Arabidopsis thaliana: one gene and its partner. The main gene of each other region encodes a partner of the protein of the gene in region 2 in a complex. Each region holds a gene or a part of one and is shown on either strand. Other genes may lie near its edges. A codon is read from its position in the direction of its gene.

Region 1 (6,498 bases), on a different chromosome or scaffold from region 2:
CTATTAGTGGCACTTATAATAGGATTTACCATTGGTGGGGGGAAGCAAATAACATAAATACATACTAAATCTTTTAGTGTTTGACAATGAAAAACGAATAACGCATGGATCCACAAGACGACAGATTTCATATTTTCTAGGAAAATAATACTAGCTATTTAGTTATACTATTGTATGTGTGGGGTTAGAGATAAGTCAAAATAAAGACAAGCACAAGCCTATCAGTCTACTGAAAAGAGTATCAGTTAAAAATATTTTAATTTACGCAGAATCCAAAAGGTTACATTGACACACACCTCGAGAACTTGAGTTCTCTTGAAAGGAAGTTTCAACAAGGTGGTTCAGTTTCAATTATACTTTATGTAAGAATTTTGTATTTTATTAAAGAAAACAGTTATATATGAACGCATAATGTTGGTTATAAAATGAGTTTACTTTTGTTTTAAAACTTTTGAAGCGACTTTCTTTGAGGCTTTGAGCTGTTCTTGGGGAACGTTTTGTAGGGTTATTGTCAACATATCTAAATTTAGAATATAACTGTATAAGTGTAGTGATCGCATCACAATAGAATCAAAGAAGTGTCTAAAACAGAAAACCATGGATTTTAGAGAATTGAACATATATATCACAATATTCGATTTAAGCAATGTCTTCGTTAACAAACTTGGAAAAGCCTGAAGATTTACCAATTTTTTGAATGTCATTACAAGAACGAGAAAAAATAAACAACATTTACAAAACGACAATGTCGGAAATACATATCCATGCATGTCATGGTGGTATATATTATGTGAATTGCGATAATCATAAACATAGTAAAAAAGTACATAACATTCAATGTAAATTGATATGATGATGTCTTGTCAACCTTTGTCCCCACATTCCGACCGCTTCACAAGGGGGTACGGTTCTTAATTAGACTTGTCTCCTCAAAGGAACTTCCAATCCTAATTAAACCCAAAATCTTGTCCCCCCCACACAGTACCTAATTAAACACATAATCAACCCAATGGAGCAAACCTTGCGAGTTCTTGAGGCAAAAACGGACGACGACCCGTTTGGTGAGGGTGATGCTCGTTGCTCACTCCAAGAAAATCCCGGGTTAGACCCATCTGTTGAGCCGGGTTTAGACCCGATCGGTTCGATTGAAAGGGATTATTATCCACACTACTAGTGGAGACACCACTAAGAGGAGGAGGAGCACGATTATGATTCTCTCTTAAGACATTGGTGTTGAAGTTGTTTAGTTGTTGTTGGATCATCATTGGAGAAGACGATCTAGGAGGAGGAGAAGCGGTGGCCGAGGAGGATGTCATTGTTGGGCCGGCGAAGAATGACGGAGCGGTGGAGGAATTGCTTCTAGTAGAGCCCATTTGTGCAGCTTTTTGTAAGAGAGCTGTGGCAGACATTGGAGAGAGAGGCTTGTTTTGTTTGTTTTCGGAGGAAGAGGAGAAGAGTGGTGAGAAAGATGAGTCTTTTAGGGTTTGGTGTTGTAGTGAAGCTGAGGTTTGTTGTGATGTTGAGGATGATGATAAGGTGAGACTAGGGTTTGTGGAAGTCATTGGAATTTGGAATTGGTGGTGGCCGGAGAAATCAGGGAGGGATGATGATGACGACGGGAAGAGGTGGTGGTTGCCGGTGGAGGCCATTTGAACCATCTCGGATAGACCTAAATTAACGCAATTGAATTGATAATAGTATTATAACATATTCATCAAAAAAAAAAAATATTTCATATATATGAATAACTAATTTAGAAAGAGGATTGGTATGTGATGTACCTTGCGCATGCATTGCACTTAGGTCATGTCCAAACCCTAGACCGAATTGAGAGATAGCAGCATTAATGTCGGGATGATGAACTCCTCGGTGTACAAATCCATGAGGAAGATTTGGATTATTCATAACATTTGACTCATTTCCAAAATTCAGATTCGTCGTAGAGATCACCGGATTGTTGTTACTAAGTGAACTCATCCTCGCTCCTTCCTCAGTTAATGCGTCGCAGAACGCTCTATGTGTGATGAAACTATCTTTCCTATAAAACAGAGATCGATTATTTATTAGATAATAAATAATAAAAATAAAGACATAATTATTTTAAGAGTGAGACAACTGCATTGATTATTATTCAATAGAGCATTGAATTTGAAATCATTTGCAAAACAAAAACATTCTTGGCCGGAGTAAGCATTTATTTCTCCTATGCAAACTCGCGACATGAAGACAGAAATAAACATAAAACTAGAAAAAAAAAGAAAAAAAAAAAGCACAAAAACCTTAATTGTTACTATATACAAAAACATAGAACTTATATATATATATATATATATAATATATATGCATGTGTGTGTATGTGTTTGTTGACAAAATATATGCATGATATCTAGTTTCTTGCCATATGGTGTGAATAGAAGAAAAGAATGAAGCCAAATAGACATGTACACATACAACCACACAAAATGAATAGATGCTCATGCCATCAAAATCTCATCGAATATCATATACTCATAAAGTATGCAGCTATTATTTCAAAATCTTAAACAAAAATAAATAGAAATTGCTCCCATAAGTCAGAATGTCTTCAATTAATGCTCTGCTCTATTCCAACTTTCGCAACAGATATAACAAATCACAAGACATTGCACACACATTCATGCATGCCGACACTTGATATATACACCTATATCTGTTTGAGTTTTTTACACAATTCTTTTAGGTTCTAACACTGTCACATGAATTGTTTTGCATTGCTTTCATCCGATATTGCTATATATGAATAGAATACCGAGTTCTAATACTTCATGTAGAAAAAAACTCAACTTATACATTAACCAATACCAACTGTTAATCTCGTTAGTAAATATTACCTGGAGAACAACGTGCCACAGTCACATTTATACTCACGAGTACCACAAGTTTTCGCATGTGCCTTCCAATCAGACTGAACAGCGTATTTCTTAGAACACTTTTCACACTTCCACTTCTTTTCACCGTGTTTGCGGCTGTAGTGTTTCTTGATCCCAGTGAGGTCTCCAAGGGCCCTGGAGGCATCATGGTGTACACAAGTCTTGATAGGACATATGTATACTTTCTTCTTTATCACTTCTTGTTTGGACCGTTGCTTTAGCTTCCATGGAAGGTTGTGGCCACGGCGATGTAGTTGTAAATTCTGGTCCCTTTGAAACCCTTTGTTGCAGATCTCGCACACGAATCTGTTTGTTGCCATGAGTGTTGTTGGCGATAGAGCGATGACATCAGCATCTGGATCTGTCCATATTTATGTTTAAATATGATATATCAACGCATATTTTGATCTAATGGCTCCAAATATGTTGTAGAGATTATAAATAAACAAATATGTAACATGACCATCCGGATACAGTAAAAGGAGGAAATATACATATAAGAAATATAGAGAGGGATGTATATGCATATGTGAATACTGAGTTTGTGATTATTTCAGCAAATAATATATATGGAGATGTTATTTTCATCAGAAAACAGATCTGCAAATATATGGAGCTGCTTTCTACGTCTTATGTATATGTAGAAATATAGACATACAAGTATCTATGACTCACACACATGCACATAGATTTGGGTATACATGTGAGTATATTATGGTGTGGAATGAGTTATACCTGGAGTGCCAGGTTGATTTCTCTTCTTCTTGGCTGATGAAGAGTTTGGTTTCGCATTTGGGTTAGGGTTAGAATTAGGGTTAAGGTCAGGGATCTGCTGCTGAAGATGATGAAGGTGTGTTTCTTGATGAACAAACCCTCCCATGGAGGATGAAATAGAAAATGGATCTCCTGGAATCATCTGCATATCTGTGTTTTAATTTAAAACGGATCGGAGCTAAAGAACAAGAACAAGAACAGCTGGGTTTTGTTTTTTTTTTATAAAATCTTGCAAGAAAACAAGAAGATGATCAGGAGGTTTATAACAGTATACAAACAAAAGAGATAGTTAATTAGGGTTTAATATGCTGAGGGGAGAAGAAGAACAAGAACAAGAGCATATAAGTTTTTTTTGGGTTTTAGGGCTTGAGAATGTTTGAATGTGCTTGACTCTTTGGTTATGCCAAATGACAAGAAAAGACCAAAGAAGATGAGGAAGAAAATTTCAAGGCACGAAAGTATACGTATATATAAAGATTATATTGAAAGAGGATTTGTTGTTATAAACAAAAAAAAACTCTTGCAGGAATAAAAGAAAAAATTGTATAAATAATGTTGAGAGATCTGGGAGATGTACATATAGAGATCTACCCTTTTTTTTGTAGTCGACTAGTAAATTATTTTCTAAAAGGGAAAGTGATTTTTTGTAAATAATTATTTTCTTCGAAAAGGCCAGTCTCTTCCTTTCTTGCAGTTTAGATAGACACACGTGCATGTGTACATCTATGGTGTGTTTATAAGTTGGGAGAAGGTATAAATATTTAAGGGATGTAATCTAAATTATATTTTAGATGATATTGTTATTTGAAAAATATATATCATCAATTAGTGTATGTTAATTAGGGGTGTTAAAATGGGTAACCCAACTCAACTCAACTCATAATCAAATGAGTTTAGGGTTAAATGAGTTATGGGTTGACCCAACTCATTTTGTTAAATGGGTTAGGTCAACCCATAACTCATTTAATTTGATGGGTTGAGTTGTTAAATGGATTAACCCATTTAAATAATAATTTAATTAATTACTATTATAAAACAATAATAAATAATTATCATTATTAATTCATTATCATCAAACTTAGGATATTTACGGATTCCACTTTTTACGGATTTACGTTTTTGGCGGGAAAATCACGGGTTTACGTTTTTGGCGGAAAATTACGGGTTTACATTTTTGGCGGGAAAATCTCGGGTTTACGTTTTTGGCGGGAAAATCACGGATTTACATTTTTGGCGGGAAAATCACGGTGTTTAAAAGATTTACGTTTTTGGCGGGAAAATTACGAGTTTACGTTTTTGGCGGGAAAATCTTAGGTTTACGTTTTTGGCGGGAAAATCACGGATTTACGTTTTTGGCGGGAAAATCACGGGTTTACGTTTTTGGCGGAAAAATCATGGGTTTACGTTTTTGGCGGGAAAATTACGGGTTTATGTTTTTTGGCGGGAAAATTATGAGTTTACGTTTTTGGCGGAAAAATTATGGATTTACGTTTTTGGCGGAAAAATCTCGGGTTTACGTTTTTGGCGGGAAAATCACGGGTTTAAGTTTTTGACAGAAAAATCACGGGTTTATATTTTTGGCAGAAAAATCTCGGGTTACGTTTTTGGGGGAAAAATCACGGGTTTAAATTTTTGGCAGGAAAATCACGGGTTTATGTTTTTTGGTGGAAAATTACGAGTTTACTTTTTTCTCAATTTCATCGCTTGTATATTTAAGAAATTTAGAAAAATATTAATTTTATTAAATCGGTTTAGTTGTGTTGGTTAAACTTAAATTGGCATTGGTTTAGAGATTTTAGTTGGTTTAATTCAATTTTACAAAACTTGATGGGTTAATTGGGTAAACCATTGAAACCATTAACCATTACAACCCAACTCATTTTACTCATCAAACCAATTGACTCATCAACTCATTTTACTCATCAAACCAATTGACTCATCAACTCATTTTACTCATCAAACCAATTGACTCATCAACTCATTTGACTCATCAACTCATTTGAGTCAAAATTTTGAACTCATTAGAGTTTACGGATTGAGTTGAGTTGACTTGATCCATGAATTTTGATCCATTTTGACACCCTTAATGTTGATGCATAATTTGATGATATTTTTGGATTTATTCTTTATTCAACTAAAATCTTCATTCACATAGATATAGTTTCAAAGGATTGTAGATACAACATTTAACTATTACGGTCATAACTTTAAAGGGTTTCTTAGTTTCGGCATTTTATTGTTTTATGTTATTTGTAATAAGTTTTTTTTTTCTACAAATTGAATTTATTTATTTTTTAAAAAAAAACAATTTATATACGTACCAATATAATTGTTGCATATTTTAGAAGCAGTAATCAATAACTATATATATATATACTCCCTATATATAGACTAATTGAGATATATATATATATATATATCTTCTTAACAAATTTCATTTTATTCTTTATAAAACAAAACAATATCTTTTTATAAGGTATTTTGAGACTAAGAAACAGTAGCTCTTTATTTATTACTTATTTTATAAAAAATCTACGTTGATATGTACTAGCTATGTTTCGGATCTACATATTAATTTAATTGGACATAGTTTCAACTCCTATTTTAATATAAAAGGAAAATTTTATCCACCCAAGAAATTGTATTTGGCAAAGGAAAATGTTCTGTGTCCCAAGAACAAAGCATATAGGTCGATGCAAAAAGTTCCCGTTGTTTAAAGAGAGCACCATCTTTGACTCCCAAAAAGTTTTAGGAACTCAAAAAAGCCTTTTTGTAATTTGTATTTATTTTTCCACTACTTTTTATATAAAGATTT
Region 2 (5,342 bases):
GTAAAAGTGATGATAATGTCTTTAAAAGCTGGAAATCTTGGGCTGAATATGATTGCTGCATGTCATGTCATTCTTCTTGATCTATGGTGGAATCCAACTACTGAAGATCAGGCTATTGATCGAGCACATCGTATTGGACAAACTCGACCTGTTACTGTAACTCGTATTACGATAAAAAATACTGTGGAGGATAGAATTTTGGCTCTCCAGGTAAAGATCCCTTATAGCTGATACTTGTTTCCCCCCTCAGTTTCTCTCATTTGTGGTTGTGTGATTTTTGGTTATTATTATAGGAAGAGAAAAGAAAAATGGTTGCGTCTGCCTTTGGTGAAGATCATGGTGGAAGCTCTGCAACTCGATTAACAGTTGATGATCTCAAATATCTATTCATGGTGTAGCTGTTCTTAAATCTTGGGTTGGCGAAGTTTCGCTTCTTTCAGAATTTTGATCATGAGCTGCATTCTTGTGTTCTTCAGGTTCACAGATTTGAAATGAGGAAATATGTAAATAACTTAGCTGTTGTCTCATAGTATATATAACATCAGAGTATATACTTTTTCTGAATCAGTTCATCCGAGATCTTCTTTCCTTTTGGGATCACATTACTCTTTCAATCTTATTATCAAGGTGTTTTGATCATGCAACACTTTTGCATGAGAAACACTCTGTGAATTTGCTAAGACAAGATAAAGACTAGATTGCTTAAACAAAATTCAAATATAAATGAAGCAAGAAGATTAGGTTAAACTAGATTCAATGTAAATGAAGCACGTGAACTTTAGGTTACAAAGTATTTGGACAGCAGATAAGTCGTATACTCTTTGGATAGTGAACATGTCCTTTAGTAACCTAAATATATATACCGAGTTTAAGTTATTTACAATACACAAATGACAAGATCACCTGCTTAAAGATAGGCAAAGTTTGGCTGGTCTCTGAAAGAATTTGGAGTTCTGAACTTGAACCGATCATCAAATTAGTTATCTTCAGCTCAAATTGGATTTGGTTTGGTATTACACCCACACCAGACCAAATTGAACCAACACACAAAGGCTTTACATGCAGAGGCAGTAGAAGCATTTAAGCCAAAATAGCATAAAGAGACAGAAAGTCACCATCACAAAACAACTAAGATTGTGTCCCCATGTATACAAAAAAGAAAGGGACTCTGCTCATAACCAAAATAGAAGACAAACTGTAATATATCATTCACTTCCTGCATCTCCAAGCTGATACCGAGTATAGAGGTCGATCTTGCCAGCAAATTACTGCGCACCCGCTCTCTTCCTTGATTCTATACCCATCAAAACCGCACCCTTGAAGCAATCTCCTAGCCTGCAACATCGCATAATAGCTAAGAGGAACATTCCCAAAACCAGCCAAATCGATCCTCTGGCTCCATTTCTCAAGCTTCTCGTGTCTTTCTCTTCTCTCAAATCCCTCGCAGGATATGATGTTCTTGATCTCCTCCCCGAAGAGCATCTTCTCCACTTTGATCCTATCTTGAGACGTTCTTGGAACTTTTGTTTCCAAGCAATCAAACAATGCTGCGTAGGTGTAAAGTGATTCTAATAGCCTCTCCATTAGTGTGGAGCCGTTGTGGTCTGAGTCTTGCTCAGTGACCACCATGACCTTTGGAGACAAACCCCAAATAGCATTGAGGAAGCTATCAGTCCTTCCTGAACTTGGTAAAGGCAAAGATGAGGCCGAGTCACCGCTAGGGCTATACCCATTGTTGTTACTCATATCATTCTCACGTGCCTCAGCTGCAGAGCCATGGCTCATCATTAGAACTCTCTGCAAGTCAACTCCACTAGGGTTGTTCTGAAACCGTAAAGCGCAGTTCTTTCTCATGAGATCATCATCAGAGGCCAAGAAGGTATGCAATTGAAGAACCGAGCTAACGGCTAAGGCCTCTCCTGTTTTAACCCGCAACTGTTCTACATTTAAACAGTCTAACCTACTCACAACGGGATTAAACTGAAACGGGATATCGAGTTTCTCTGCTTCCTCAATGAGTCTATGAGCCATTTGTTCAAGCACTTCCTTCTGGTGATGAACACCAGTGATTCTCAAATGAGGTGGACCTTCAGGCCTAGAGTTAAAAGCTTGAAGCAAAGCAAGCCATTGAGCTGGCTCAGAAGCATCGAGATCAATCACATGAACCATCTTCTCTCCTTCCATAGCCTCGAGTATAGCTCGATTAGTGAGCAAGTAAGAGACTTTGAGTATCGGGAACATCTCAAAGAAGAGTCTTCTAACATGAATCTCCTCAGAGACATTGTTAGTTCTTGTCTGAGTTGCGTTAAGAGCCTTGTAAAGACCAGGCCAGGACTTAAGGATTCTGTTAGCAAGCGCTTCGGTGAAGTAAGCAGCGATTCGCTGCATCGTGTCGCCGTCAGGAGAAGCGAGGTGAGAGAGCTGCTCGAGCGCTGCGTTAGCGTTTTGGAGGCTACCTGAAGCCACGTGGTTGGCACAAGTTAGCAAGAGGTGGATTAAGTAGAGACCACGCTCCTCTGGTTTGAGATCTTTGAGACAATGAAACGGAGATGAAGAAGCGAGGAGAGTCGGTCTGTTGAGTGACATAGTTGAGAAGACTTGAAGTGGTGATGAAGCTACAGAAGATGTTCCATTATCTTCTTGAAACATAGCCACCATTGAAGGCCAAAAGCTTGATTTTGATTTACTCAGAACCAAAAGTAACCTTTTTTGTAAAGAAAGATTTAAACTTTGAGAGACTCGTAACGAGAAGAACCAAACCCACGATTCGGAATTTCTTGAAAGATGCAGAGAATCTGCAGTTTAACAAAAAAGGGGGTTAAAGAACAGAGGAACTAGGGTTTGCAGAGAAAGTACTGAATTTTAAAAACCTTTGAATCTAGTTAAACTATTTGAAATAGATATAGACGAAGAAACACAAACAGAGAGCTGAATTAAAACTTTCCTAATTTGATAAACTAAGAAAGAAACAAAACAAAATAATAGCAAATGATCAAAGAAGATAACAAACAACAATAACCAAAGAAAAAAACTTACATGGATTTAGAGAAAATGTCTAAAGCTTTTTTTTTGGGAGTGAGAGGGTTCTCTCAATCTTTATCTCTCTATCCACGTCTCTGGTGGTTATCTTGTGAGTAATAGCGTGTGTGTGAAATGTTGTTTGTGTTTTGGGAAAAAACTTTAAGAAAGAAAACACTAAAACAGAGGCATTGTTCCTTTTGGCTCTACGTACCAGACAATGCGTGATAGTCGGTTTTGTCTTCTTCCTTTTTGTTTTTTTCGTTTCCTCTTTCTTCTTTCCTTGGTTTTAAGGAATTATTAAACAAAAGGTTGTCAAATTTTCCAATCCCATCCATCTATCTTATACTATTATGTGTACTAGTACTACATGAATGAATATCATATAAGAATACGTATTTTGATTTTGAGTGCTCTTAAAGTGGTGTAACATTAATAAATAAAACTGAATGAGAGTGTATTAGCTTATGTTGCATTTATAAATAAAACTGAATAAGAATACATCCATCAATCTTATACTATTATGTGTATTAGCTAATGTTGCATTTTCATTTTCTTTTAAATTTGTAAGACTTGTAGGAATTAGTCTTATTGATTATTTTTATAGTTATTATTTTATATAAAGTCAAGATAAGAGAAGTTTCACCTAGAATTTTCTTGATTTAGAGGAACTAAGAAGAAAAAGCAACACTTAATTATGAAGGAAGAAGAAGTTCAATGAACCCATTTGGCATTATACAAATTGGAATTATCTTATAATAGATACATACACGAATACAACATATATGTCTGTATTCGAGATTGGAACCTCCACTTTTATGGGTTTTTGTCATGGCATGAGGTGGATTTGGAATCATGACTATATATTTCTACATCAAAAAAATTGTTAAAGAGAAAAAAAGAAAGCTGTTTTGGTAAAATATTGATTCTGAGAAGAAGGAAACGTCCAAACACGCCCTAACAAAGACAAAACAAAACCCAAAAACCATCTCTTTTGTTTTTGTTGTTTTGTTAGAAAAACAAATAACAATAAAAGAGATGAGGCTGAGGCTTGGGTGTGGGATTTGTCTGTCTTCTTTAAATGTTCATTGTCTTTTCATTACTTTTCTCTTTGTCTTTTTCTTCTTTTTAATGCCTACATTTTTGTCTTCTTCTCTTCTTTCTCTCTCTCTTTGTTTTTTACTGTGTGAGAGAGAACATTATTCAGTTTTTAAACTAAAAAGACCATTGACCAGAGAGATTCTACAGAAAAAGAATGATGCTATTTTACTACTATTGTACCTCAACTTTTTTTTCATCTTATCAATAGTAAAATAGTACTATAAAGTGAGAAAAATATGCATCCATAACAACACAGTAAAATTGTTTTAGTATGAAATTTGTTTAGCTTTGACTACAAATTAGAGAATGGTAAGTTTTTGTTATTAAAAACTTTGTAGTTAGATCTCATGATATCCAAACATAGAATCACAATTTTGCTGAAGGAGCTTGGTACGAAGACCGCCTCAGAAGTAAATGATGGTTCTGTTTTAGCAACTTTGGATGCTGCTACTCGGGTTGAGCTTCTGAGCTCCCCTTCTTATGTCTTTTTGTTTGAGCATTTGTCCTCGTAGCTTTTTGTGTATACTCTCCACGTGGAGGCAACTCTCGTTTAAAGTTGAATGAAATGTTAGTTTGACCAAAGAAAATAAAAAATAAAGAATCACAATTTTGTGAAAACTGTGTAATAGTAGTTTTGTGGATCCTCCAGAACACCAATTAAGTCTAAAAGTGAAGTCAACTTGATAATGTCGGTGAGTTCTTTGTGATTGAAAAACTGAAAGAACACTATCAATTCTTTGTGATTATTCATGTATTTTATAGGGTTCAAGTTCAATTAGTGCCTGTACTTATAAAAGACTTCATTTGATGTAGTTAAAATATTAGATGGATGAATCAACTTATTTGATGCATTAAGAAGCAGTATAATCAAAATATCAAATAATAAAATTAGAAAACGGCAGGCTAACTTTGATAATCTAGGGAAATACATAAGTGTAGCTAGAGATTTGAAAACCTATAGCATACAAATCAGCAAAAGAATGTCTATCGCATCAATTTGCATTTTTGTTTTGGCACGGTCTTTTGATGATTCCAACGTTCGAATTAACGTAATAAGTAGAAAATGAGAACAACAGACTTCGTTACAATCAATAAATTCCCGGAATGATCCTGTATTTGACTTTCTCACAATACAGCTTCCAATATTTCCCATACCTTTTTACCAAAACAAAACCCGAATATTGTCAGCAAATCAGAGTAAGATCAAAGAGGATGTGTAAAAT

What was found. The genes of interacting proteins can lie anywhere in the genome.
Region 1: the proteins of SCL3 (region 2) and JKD are in contact, whole or in part, in a crystal structure (PDB 6KPB), measured with the Arabidopsis thaliana proteins. Residues at the interface, in NP_175459.1 of Arabidopsis thaliana: Glu48 (codon at 2,517), Gly51 (codon at 2,508), Leu52 (codon at 2,505), Ile55 (codon at 2,496), Thr90 (codon at 2,391), Met91 (codon at 2,388), Leu366 (codon at 1,563), Tyr367 (codon at 1,560), Ala370 (codon at 1,551), Ala371 (codon at 1,548), Asp374 (codon at 1,539); in NP_195935.2 of Arabidopsis thaliana: Ser370 (codon at 1,406), Ala371 (codon at 1,403), Thr372 (codon at 1,400), Leu374 (codon at 1,394), Leu375 (codon at 1,391), Gln376 (codon at 1,388), Ala378 (codon at 1,382), Ala379 (codon at 1,379), Met381 (codon at 1,373).

Annotation. Positions count from the first base shown.
Region 1 is NC_003076.8:743,182-749,679, reverse strand, and holds JKD (C2H2-like zinc finger protein), read right to left. Parts: upstream 4,260-6,498; 5' UTR 3,832-4,259; coding exon 3,645-3,831; intron 3,271-3,644; coding exon 2,871-3,270; intron 2,039-2,870; coding exon 1,782-2,038; intron 1,670-1,781; coding exon 1,002-1,669; 3' UTR 652-1,001; downstream 1-651. UniProt on the Arabidopsis thaliana protein: Transcription factor that, together with BIB, regulates tissue boundaries and asymmetric cell division by a rapid up-regulation of 'SCARECROW' (SCR), thus controlling the nuclear localization of 'SHORT-ROOT' (SHR) and restricting its action.
Region 2 is NC_003070.9:18,676,968-18,682,309, forward strand, and holds SCL3 (scarecrow-like 3), read right to left. Parts: upstream 3,334-5,342; 5' UTR 3,037-3,333; intron 2,796-3,036; 5' UTR 2,659-2,795; coding exon 1,210-2,658; 3' UTR 727-1,209; downstream 1-726. Other genes in the region: AT1G50410 (SNF2 domain-containing protein / helicase domain-containing protein / zinc finger protein-like protein), read left to right, coding at 1-210, 294-398; DWF5 (Ergosterol biosynthesis ERG4/ERG24 family), read right to left, coding at 5,208-5,274. UniProt on the Arabidopsis thaliana protein: Probable transcription factor involved in plant development.